3 linked regions of the Lepisosteus oculatus genome follow. The protein of the gene in region 2 binds, or shares a complex with, the protein of the main gene of each other region. Links are inferred from orthologs where the notes say so. Each region holds a gene or a part of one and is shown on either strand. Other genes may lie near its edges. The genes, in order: dvl2, axin1 and gsk3ba.

Region 1 (3,747 bases), on a different chromosome or scaffold from region 2:
ACTCTCCCGTCGCTGCTCCACGGTTACGGGGGGGTGCCTTTCCTCAGACGCGACGAGACAAATTCTCGTTTTATTTATTTTTTATCGTACTTTTTTGGGATTTTTCTTTATCACTATGCATATGCCATCTGTGGGTTTGGAAAGGCACTTTCGAAGTAAAAGCTATTGTTCCCGTTATTAAGAGGCGAGTCATGAGCAGTCCGGGTGGTAACACACAAAGCGAGGGCAAGCGTGGCTCCTCTGAGCTGCCACCACGTACAGCGACTGCATTATCAGGACACTCTCAGACTGCACTCATGTGACAGACGAGCTGCGGAACATTTGAAGCCATTAAGCAAAGCTGATGAATACCATGACAAAGGAGTTTAAAACCAGCATAACCTCTCGAGCTACTTCCTTCAATGTAACCCTAGCTGTACTGTGCACTGCACACATGCACACAGAACAATACCAACACCCTGCCACTGAAGCAAACGAGTCAAGACAGTATTCTGCTCACTGAGTTCACGTGCTTCAATTTTTCCCTCAAGTCCCCAAGTCAGAACTGCTCGTACTGGGAATCCCCTCACAAACAAAACGGATGAAATTTCTTTAAACACACCCTGGGGGGAGGGGGTAAGGGGGGAGGGCGTTTTCCTGGGAGAGGCGAGTGGGAATTTGGGAAGAGAACATGCTAACTCCACACAGACGGGTGTCCCCGTCTGGAACTGAAGGCCAGACCCCCCTGGAGCTGGGAGGCAGCGGTGAGCGCCGCCATGACGCCTGGGAGAGAGAGAGAGAGGGCTTCCAAGAACAAAAAAAAAAAAGCTGCAGACCGGGGCCGCAGATCTGAAGAGATCTCCCTTCGGCGTCTAAGCAGGAAACCTAAATCCTCAAATCGGCCCCGAATTGAGGAAATCGTAGAAATGAACGAGGTCATTTAAAAGGAAGCGGCTCTCGAAAAATGGAAAAAGAGAGAGGGAGGGAGCGAGGGGGGTTCTGGGAGGCAGAAATCTGGCGGAGTTTCCAAAAAAAAAAGATTTCACAACAGAAAAAAGAAAGGATTAAGCAGGTAGTGAAAAAGAGCACTAATCCCTCTTAGAAAAGTTCTCTCGTCTGTGGGTTTTTTTTTTTTACTCCTTCTCGGGAGCCGAAGCTGTTCGTTTTGTTCGCCGGAATAATAGAAATTCCTACTTTTTTTTCTTTGCAAAGACAGACAAACACAGCACAGGAGAGAGAGAGAGAAACGGTACAATTTGGGAAGGGGGGGGGGGTACAGGCTACACCGCCACCCCACGTCCACACTCGCTGATTTTCTTTAATTACAGTCAGTCTGGAGGAAAACAAAAAAAAAATGAGGACGACTTTCCTGGACTGCAGAAGGCGTCTCGCAAAAATCTACTGTAGATTTTCCCCGACCCCCCCCAGAAAAAAAGACGGAAACCTTATGTTTCTGCCGAAACGTGCTTCCCATTTTGTTAGTGGGGGAGGAAGCGTACGCGAGCTTTTTAAAGGTTTTCGTTCCTTAAATCCCCAAGGAATGTCAGCACGGGGGGGGGGGGAAGCACAGCCAAGTTTCAGAAACAAAGACGAACACCTCCACCTCTGCAAGCACATACAAAGCTGAATAATTTACCTCCTCCCTCGTTCGACCCCTGTGCTCCAAGCCCCTAGATAAAACAAACTGCGCGTCTTCGCAAAGGGTCAAAATCTACCCCCCCCCTTCTTAATCCGACCTCCATTTAAGACGGGGGACCTGAGCGCAAGGAACCCCTCGAATTGCACCCGATGCCCTTCTCGTGTCCAAAAATGAATTCTCATTGAAACTACCCAACGGCGCCCGAAAGATACAGCCCCGCATTTTTTAGGGGAAAAATACAGCACGATAGCCACGTTCCCCGGCAGAGAACCCCTTGCACACATTTTTAAATCCGTTTCGTGTGTGTGTGTGTGTTTTTTATAACTGATCCAACAGATGTACTTTTGCACCGTGCCCTCCCGTACGGTAACAACCCGAGACACGCATCGCCCTCACCCGAAATCCTGATCCATAGATTTGAAGAAGAACTTGTAGTTCGGTTTGTTCAAGACCTGCTTGAAGTCCAGCAGCGTGATTTTCTCCGCGGCGATGGGGATTTTCACCAGATACGGCGTCTCCTCCTCGTCAATGTGGTAGATGATTTTCGTCTCCGCCATTTCCAACTTCTTTTCTGCGAACCGACGGGGGATGCCGAGCGGACACCCAGCTCGCTGTTGCGGCTGGATCGGTGTCGTGCGCGCCGGGCTTTAAGGTTACAAACTGAACTTTCTCCGCTCTCCCACCCCCTCAACTTTTGCCGTGTTTCCCGAACCACAGCAGAGGAGGACGGAGGAAAGGAGTAGGGGCGGGCGGGCGGGCGGGCGGGGGGGGGGCAGACGGACGCCGGAAAAAAAAAATCAAAACAAAAACTTTCTAACAACTGAGGGGAGGGGGGGGGAGAAGAGTGAGAGAGGGAAAAAAAAACTTTCTCTGTGAGCCAGCGCGGCGTCTGACGTCAGGTGGACGCCGCTTGCGTCCTGGCCGACGTGCCCCCTGCCCCCTTCCCCACACGTGTGCCGGCTAGTCGCGGGAGCGCAGAGGCCATAGGCCCACAGACCGCCCCAATCCTCACTCGGGACCTGCGCTGCAGCCGGCAGCAAGTTCAAATTACACCCACGAGCGCTGGCGAAACCTCGGTCGCGCAATTCCCTCCTCCTCAAGCTGCATCCCTGCGAATCGCTCTTAAATCACCCACCTTGTGAGGGACAGTAAGTGAATTCGAAAAGCCCATTTCTTTGGGGTTCCAGGTGAACAGATGCTCCTCTAGAGTTTCAGCCAGTACTCCTTATACAAAGCACAATTCCCCTCTGTCTCCCCCACCACAGGAAAGAAACTTTATTCCAGGCCCCATGTCACCTCTCTACTGCTGCAGGGATGCACATGACAAAAAAAACGGTTATGTGCATCCCTTTTGAATTGTCACACACAAATCAACAACAACAAAAAAAAACATCAGTTGTCACCAGCCTCCTGGGAGCGGTCATGTGACCATTTGCTGCATCACTTCCTGTTACCAAGGTTGCTGCAGGTGGTACCAGAGGCCCAGTTGGTTATGGTGAAGTACAGGACTCCATAAACTCTGAAGGAGGTTTCTCCTCCCCCCATGAACCTGGCCCAGTGCTTATAGCTACAAGGGCTGACCGATTTCCACCAGTGGGTGTGGAAGGCAGCTCCTCTGGTGGTCTTTGTACAACCTAAAATAGTTGTCCTTTTCCGTAAGACCCCCAACCCTTCCTCCAGCAAAACAGCACACCAGCTTACTTCAGAAGCTGTTCAGTAAAGAAAGATCTTGGCATCCATAATACCTAAAGGGCAGTTTCTCTTCAATACCCCTTAGCCTTAGTAGGACTCCTTCAATGTGCAGGAAGACCCTTCTGCCTCAGAAATATAGAAACTTAGCCCCATATCCTCTTAAGAAAGGGTTTCTACAGTGTGAACAGGTTCTCTCTATGAGGCCCCAGACTGTGCAGTTACTATTTCCATTCTTACTTCAAGTAGTGAGCCAACTGCAAACACCTCAAGATTAGGGGGACTGCATTTGCAAGACAGGTCTTTAGAAGCAAAGCATGATTGTCAAAGAAAAAAAAACTGAAACTCCAAAAGAACCCATTTATTTTTTAAAATACTGTCAAATTTTACAGATTTATGTTCTGGATTAAAGATCTTGATCTCCTCACGGCAACCAGCAG
Region 2 (3,747 bases):
AAAGGCCAGTGATTCAACAATAGGGCCATTTAGACATTAAAAGGAATGTAAGTTTATTGTACATTCAAAAATGTCATTTTCAAGATGCACTTTTATTGAAACAAATCTACAGGTACACTGCACAATGTGGTAGCATAAGAAGTAATTTTCGTATGTGATAATAACAATAATTTAAATAAATTCACACGACTAGGCTAGTTTATAAGTAACATTGTGAAGCAGATGATGTGATCCTACTACTAATTCATCTCAGATTATTTTGTTGTTTTTAACAGAAAAAAGAAGATTTTTCATCACAGTTGGGGATCTGGGCTACACTATGCTGGTCTGAAATCTTTTGATTTTGATCAAGACTAATGAAGTTATTTGAATGAAAAGAAGAAGGAGTACTTGTGGGTTTGAGTATTGATATGCTGCTCTTTTTTAGTGCTGTCTTAAAAGAGCAAAAGTACCAAAAGACTGTCACAAAATGTATTCTGGACTCCTGCTGATGTCTTTTGTCATCGCTGAATATCTCATGACTAGCAAACCCGAGAGTGGATTAGCCACAGTGGATTAAAAGATTTGCCTCCTAGAGTTTATTTAATATTGTTTTGCTTATTATTACAGAACTACGTTGGAAAAATATGCATACATCTTCAAAACCGGGTGATGTCCTTCTGTTAATTTAGTGTATTTGGAGAAAGGCAGTATTGACTCTAACCCAGAGCTGTGCCTCCAAAGGCGGTACACTTTGGACAAGGAAAGCCTGATGATGAATGAACACAAGGAAAAAAGCACGAAAGCTCATCATGATCTGTGGTGTGTTAGTTTTCAGATGCGCTGATAGCAGTCGAGCCATTGTTGTGCTGCCCAGTTAAATCCGCTGGCTGACTGCAGCCAAGTCCGCAAGAGGCACGAAAACTAGGAAAACAACAACAGCGCACCTACCATAGGAAAGCACTCCACAGCACAACAATTGATTTCAAGATGAATGCAAGCTGGGAAAGCTGTGGGCATGATCCCGACTCCTAGCCTGATCTATGGAGTTACCCAATGTTTGTATTTTTCTATCGGGTGTTTTCCGAATAAAAAACGGTTTCCGATTGCTTTTTTACAGACCGTGGCGCGTTACGCACACTGCGGTATGTATGGCCGCCATCTTTAATCATAACTGGGTTCGTTTGCGAGTCCTTTTTTCCTTCCCCACTGATTGTTATGGTGGTTCTTTCTTCTGACTGACATCACATTGCAGTATCGACAGGCTCACGGGCCGCGCAGCAGGAGGTCTCTGGGATATGGAGCTCAGGCTGGCCATCGCTGCCGTCCGGCAGATCCGCTGCCTACATTCAAGCCTTGCTTAAACATAGGGATTGCAAACAAAAATTCGTCCCAGTTCAAGTGCCTTTGATCTCATAAAGGCCTCCATTTACAGCTCCTTAATAGAGGCTTTTGAAAATATCTTTTCTCAGATGTTCCGAGTAATGAGATTTAGAATACTATGATTAATCTAGGCCCGCTTTTTTTTGTACACACACAGACGCACACTCTCATTCAGCCAAACTGACTTGGTCGCTTAATTCTCCCAACATAAGAATTGGAAAAAATATATCGGAACTATGCGAGAGCCCAGCTGGAGTGCTTTGACGGCGCTGTTTTTAACAAAATTTGATCTGAAAGGCCTACAACAATAATTTTAAAGTCTGGCCGACCCGCTCGCCCCTGCCCCTTCCCTTGTTTCATTCATCTTCTCGCTTTTTTTTTTCGGAAGCTGAACGTTAAAAGACTAATCTTGTTTACTGTCCCTGTGTTTTTGATTCACAGAGCACTTTTCGAAGAAGAATGAAGGGAGTTAAATCGGTAGGGACGATGCTCTCACCTGCCTCTCCTGCTGAGTAGTTCGTCGGGTCTGATTTTCGTGTTCCGCCATGACTGGGCGCAGTCGCCTACTTGCCACCCTGAGTACTTACTTATACTCATGAACCTGTTTCTGTTTCTTACTACTGTGTTGCTGAAAGATGTGCATCTTTACTTTATGTTGCAGCTTTGGCTCTCCAACCTGATTGGATGACGCAAGGACCAGATGATAGTGCTTAGAACCCTATTGTAACTATGGCAACAGACCCCTTAGGCATGAGTGATTTGCTCATAATTGCTGGATAAACATACAAAATAAGGCGCTATTTCAGCATTTTATTGTACTCCACACTAAGAGTATAAATGACAATAAATAAATCAATTGGCTTTCAAATAACAGCTAAGCTGAGCAAGTTCGATCAATGGACCAGCCTGCGCCGAGAAAGGCAGAGGAAAAAAAGAAAGAGACTTGGTAACATAATGCTTTTCCTATCATCCGCTAGTATCACTTGCTGCGTTCATAAATAAAGAATAAAGTTGAGTTTGGTTTCGAATCAAGAGGCTGGTACGTGTCTTATTGAAGACGAAGAGACAAAGGAGAACAACAACAACAAAAAAGGTGAAACAAGACAAGAGAGGGTTCAAAGATAAAAGTGAAGGGGAAAAAATGGGAAAAAGAAATAATATTCCCTTTGTACCAAAGTGTTATCAGCTGCTTACCTTTCATGTGGATTTCACACTCGCTTGTCTGAGGCAGCGAGGGTCAAGCCCAGCAAACCCTTCCCACAAGATCCGATTTTCCACTCACACTGTCCAGCAGCCTCCGCGTCGGCTGCCACTTACATTTGTGTCGATGATGCTGCACGAAAACATTTTGCATAAAGGTGTCGGGTTTTGTGCGTGCATGTTTGAAACCCATCTGTGTGTGGATAAATGTACTTCAATAATGCGCTGGGAGCTGCCTCTTACAGTGACCAAACAGGCTATGTTTGCAAAATGGAGATAAAGGAAGAAATTCATGGATTTTTTATTCAAAAGAGCAGCATCTAGCCTTTAGTTTGAGTTGAACTCATCACTGTTGAGGTGGTGTGTGTGTCTACAGCTATAAAGAAAAGTTGCCAGTCCGACTAAACACAAAAATAATCAGGCTTGTTGAAATGTTAATTTTCATTGTCCTTTTGACGCTACCTGGCAGTACGACCAGGGTTATGTAACTTTGTTAATGCTTTCTCTTCAAATATGCTGAGATTGATGGCACAAAGAGAATCGTGGACACCTTTGCTAAATTGTGTATTTTTTATGTACTGTTAACTTAGAAATTACAGACTTTTTTCCAAGCAGAAATGATTTTATTTGAAATAATGTTGTAATATTCTAATATTATATAAAGATGAGGAAAACTACAAATACTATATTGGTTTACAGACTTGACAAAGTAAAGGACTTTTTTACAGAACAAAAATGTTTTTATTCTTTTCATTCTGTAACCCAATTGTTCTGTGTGCAAACTGCGTGCAAATCTAGATTTTGTAAGGTGTGTGTTCTGAGTTAGTGTGCATCACTGCTCTGAAGTATATTTCGCTCTGTGTAGGACTTTACAAAGTTGAAGCAATGACCTCGTCCGCCTCTAACACTTCTGGAAGTTAGGAGCTCCTCTAGCGCTGTGGGATGAACACGGATTAAAGGGCACAGGAAGCACTGCAAGATCCCTCTGTCCTGTCCTGCTGTAGGACAAAGAAGAGGGAGCAAGGACTTCACAGTAATACAGGACTGCAATCGCGAAGAGAGAAAAACACCCCAAATTCTCAAAAAGGAAAATTTAAAACATGTCTTCACAGAAAAGATTGGGGGTTTAAGAAATCTTCAAATGAATTGATGATTTGGATATTTTGTGGATCTTGATAAGATATT
Region 3 (3,747 bases), on a different chromosome or scaffold from region 2:
CAGGACAACCCAAGACATGGGATAATTGACCTGGACCTTTCTGGATCCTGGACAGGCAGTGTTGCATCAGTGGGAATGCACTGGTGCCAGGTTCAGCTTCCTATCATTTGGTAAGGATGAGGCAACACTAAACTGGGGGTGTGCAGTTCTGGTCCTGGAGAACTAGTGCGTCTGCAGTTTTCATTCCATCTCTTAACGAGCTACACCAGCTAGTTAACGGCTTAACTGGACCTGTTCAACAGCTCCGCCCAGCTCTTGAGTTACTACTACTTTAAAGACAGCTTGGAAAACCATGATACCCCAGGCTGTCCAGGACCAGGAGCATCACATATCCACACACAAAGAACATTCAACAGATTAAATCCACACACCTCAGACCAAGTTTTCAAACATTAAACGTGATATTGAAAACCCATACACCAGTCAACGCAATCTTTCACAGCCTTTAACCACAACATTCAAAACCCCTGCCCCTTCTCTGCGGAAAACGCGGAACTCTCTTTCCCTCCCCGTTGTTGCAAGCTTGTCTTCTAAATTCAGTATGACACATATTTGTGCCAAACACAAACTTCCACCTAGCTCCTCAGACAGAAAGCCGTCTTCTTTCCCGCGTGAGATATGTGGAAGGGTGCCCGACACCAGCACTGAAACGCGGTATTAATAATTCTACTGCTTGAAATAGCAAAGGCAGTACAGTACCACCCACACAACTAGTCAATGGAAGGGGATGTTAAAATTGTGGTGCGGAACTGTTTTTACTTTGTCGTGAATTATTTTCTTTTGAGCTATAGCAAGGACAACAAATACAGCAGTTAAAGGATGTCGAAGTGTCCTTCTGGCATTAAGTGAAATACGGTTGCACACTACGCTCGCCTTGTTACTCTGGCAGACACTCGGAGCCCAGTCTCTCCAATACTGTTGGTTTATCACCAATCCACTTCCTCGATGAAGTCACACAGAACTGATTATCAGCGAGGAATCGGCCTGTAGCTTTAACGCCTGACAGATGCTACATCGCAGACTGTGCAGCATGATCATCAAAATCATTTTGCACGAATCCGTGTGAACAACTGGTTCTACATTACTCTTACGCTTAGCGGTCTTATTCTAAGCGTCTACGTGTATTATTAAAATGCACGTTTGGCTTATTAGGGATGCACTTCCGTATCGAAAGCACCGTATCGATTATCGATACCGATGTCAGACCTCAACCGTGCTACGAAGGGGCCGGCTTTCTCGCCGAATAAAAACGCCATAGACCGCATAGACAAGTAACACCATCACCTCTCGACCGCCCAAGAAAAAAAAAAATCTAACAGCCAGAGCCCAAGCGTCGTCAATTCAAATCGCACGATTCAGTATGACAGACACACGCTCGCCGCCGGCGCGGCCCGGGCGCTGACAGTCGGACGCAGGCTGGGTGACACTTACTGCTGACTTTCATGCTGCCAAACGCGGACGGCGGCTGCACCGGCTTGCAGCTCTCCGCGAAGGAGGTGGTCCTGGGCCGTCCGGACATGATCCCTCTTCACCGATCTCCGTCTCCCCCACCCCTCTCTCTCTCTCTCTCGCCGCCTTTCTCTCGGCCGCTGCTGCTGCTGCTGGGATCAGATCTGTCGCTGCGGTCTTCCCCCCGGTCGGAGCCGACGGCCAGCGTATCTCGGCAAACGGAAGCAGCTCCCCACGGCTCTCGGCCCCTTCCCGGTTTCACTCGATTCCTGGCGTCTCCTGTCCACCCAGACCCGGGTCTCCTTTCAAATCATCCCTTTTTCTCCCAGGGAAAAAAGGCCCCTTTCCTTGCTTCGTCTTCTCCTCCTGCTCCAACGATCAGGCCTTCAAAAGAAAAACGTCTTTGATTTCCCAGTGTCTCATGGAAAACGGCTAACCTTTCTCTCTCCTCCCCCTCCACGGTATCTTCTATCTTTTTTTTTAAAAAAAACTCCCTTTAATTTATTTTAAGGAACACAAGGTCGCTTAGATCTTTTTTATTTAAAAAATCGGATCCGATTTGCTTTTCTAAAACGCAAACTTTCTCTTAAAATATCGCCGATTACACAAGGCAGCCACGAAAATCTGCTTCATATTCTGAGGTGGAGACTCAATGATCCGACAGCTTCAGCCATGGCGGCTTCCTTGCTCAGCCCAACCAACAATTCAAATGAAAAATTTCCAATTTCCCGATTTTAAATCAAAAGATCTCCCCAGTTCTTCCGCCTCTTCCGGCCCCATACACACAGATGTTATAATCTGAACTCTCTGGGATAAAGCCGGGGGTCGAAAAAGTGCCTTAGATGCCTAGTTAAGTGGGAAATAGCAATTTTGCCACTCTCACAAATTCAGAATTTCTTTTTCTATTCCGTCTCCGTCTGTCTCTGTGCTCGCTCTCTTTGTCACTCCGACCCGCACAACGTCATTTGCGTAATGTACGGACAAAGGCGCCACGGCTAATTGCGAACAGCGTGGGCTACGTCACCAGACTGCAGTAGCTGCTGTGCGAGAATCGGACATTGTGAACGCGCAAGCAGACGTGAGGAGGTTCTGTCAGCCAATCTGGAGCGAGACGGGCGGAGAGATCCGGGGGTTGAGGGCCAATGGGACTGCGCCCCCCCCTCCTCCCACCTCCCATGCCCCCATTTTTCCGAAGATAGCCGAATGCCACCAGCTGTAACGAAAACGACCATAAATAGGTAACAGAGGCGGGCTGAGGTGGGTTTGCGTCAGGAGTGACTGAGCAAAGTCCAATCGAATTTTAGAAGGACGCCGGGTGTTCACCAATCTCGTTGGTCGTGAGTGCAAATTACGCAGCAAAGAGCAAGGCCGCTCTAGATTAACCATAGATATCCCATATCATGCTAGAGTCAATTACGTTAGCGTACTTCAAAATGGGCGCCATCTTTAGAAGGTTAACCTAACTGTTGGTAATTTGGACAGATATCTAAAAATGTGCTCTGCTTCTATGTCTACTCTCGCAAATGTGAGGCAGGTGTCAGTTACAGGAAACATTTCTTTAATATATTTGTGAACTGTCCAGAAGACATCAACATGGGGGTGTAGCAATACTGCAAATGAAACAACTGGGAACACCATGGAACTGCATTTAAAATAGAACACAAGGAGAATAGGAATTTCTTACCACAGAGATTTGTGGGAGTTTAAAACAAGCTTCCCACCTGTGTTTGTCCTCCTCTTGTGTAAACTTTCTTATGTTATTTTCTGGTGAAGACATTCATTAGGTTTTAACATGTTTGTTAATAATAATTGCTTACACTTATATAGCGCTTTTCTGGACATTCCACTCAAAGCACTTTACAGGTAATGGGGACTCCCCTCCACCACCTGGATGATGTGACGGTAGCCATAGTGCACCAGTACACTCACCACACATCAGCTATCAGTGGGGAGGAGAGCAGAGTAATTAAGCCAATTCATAGAGGGGGATTATTAGGAGGCCATGATTGGTAAGGGCCAATGGGAAATTTGGCCAGGACGCCGGGGTTACACCCCTACTCTTTTCGAGAAACGCCCTGGGATTTTTAATGAGCACAGAGAGTCAGGACCTCGGTTTTACGTCTCATCCAAAGGACAGCACCTGTTTACAGTATAGTGTCCCCGTCACTATACTGGGGCATTAGGACCCACACAGACCACAGGGTGAGCGCCCCCTGCTGGCTCCACTAGCACCTCTTCCAGCAGCAACCTTAGTTTGTCCCAGGAGGTCTCCCATCCAGGTACTGACCAGGCTCACAC

What was found.
Region 1: the proteins of axin1 (region 2) and dvl2 are in contact, whole or in part, in a crystal structure (PDB 6JCK), measured with the Homo sapiens proteins. The link is inferred for Lepisosteus oculatus from reciprocal best matches to the Homo sapiens genes AXIN1 and DVL2. Residues at the interface, in NP_003493.1 of Homo sapiens: Arg821, Tyr823, Lys825, Lys826, Glu830, Phe831, Val835, Val836, Phe837, Glu838, Glu839, Lys857, Glu859, Asp862; in NP_004413.1 of Homo sapiens: Lys15, Ile17, Tyr18, Glu23, Glu24, Thr25, Pro26, Tyr27, Leu28, Val29, Val46, Leu47, Gln48, Arg49, Pro50, Phe81, Arg84.
Region 3: the proteins of axin1 (region 2) and gsk3ba are in contact, whole or in part, in a crystal structure (PDB 4B7T), measured with the Homo sapiens proteins. The link is inferred for Lepisosteus oculatus from reciprocal best matches to the Homo sapiens genes AXIN1 and GSK3B. Residues at the interface, in NP_003493.1 of Homo sapiens: Glu384, Pro385, Gln386, Phe388, Ala389, Glu391, Leu392, Ile393, Arg395, Leu396, Glu397, Val399, Gln400; in NP_001139628.1 of Homo sapiens: Ile228, Phe229, Val263, Asp264, Leu266, Val267, Ile270, Lys271, Asn287, Tyr288, Phe291, Lys292, Phe293, Pro294, Gln295, Ile296.

Annotation. Positions count from the first base shown.
Region 1 is NC_090698.1:8,841,164-8,844,910, forward strand, and holds the start of dvl2 (segment polarity protein dishevelled homolog DVL-2), read right to left. Parts: upstream 2,386-3,747; 5' UTR 2,176-2,385; coding exon 2,015-2,175; intron 1-2,014.
Region 2 is NC_090714.1:610,839-614,585, reverse strand, and holds the start of axin1 (axin-1), read right to left. Parts: upstream 2,704-3,747; 5' UTR 2,557-2,703; intron 2,032-2,556; exon of another isoform or gene 1,859-2,031; intron 1-1,858. UniProt on the Homo sapiens protein: Component of the beta-catenin destruction complex required for regulating CTNNB1 levels through phosphorylation and ubiquitination, and modulating Wnt-signaling.
Region 3 is NC_090710.1:19,227,306-19,231,052, reverse strand, and holds the start of gsk3ba (glycogen synthase kinase-3 beta), read right to left. Parts: upstream 2,400-3,747; 5' UTR 1,520-2,399; coding exon 1,432-1,519; intron 1-1,431. UniProt on the Homo sapiens protein: Constitutively active protein kinase that acts as a negative regulator in the hormonal control of glucose homeostasis, Wnt signaling and regulation of transcription factors and microtubules, by phosphorylating and inactivating glycogen synthase (GYS1 or GYS2), EIF2B, CTNNB1/beta-catenin, APC, AXIN1, DPYSL2/CRMP2, JUN, NFATC1/NFATC, MAPT/TAU and MACF1.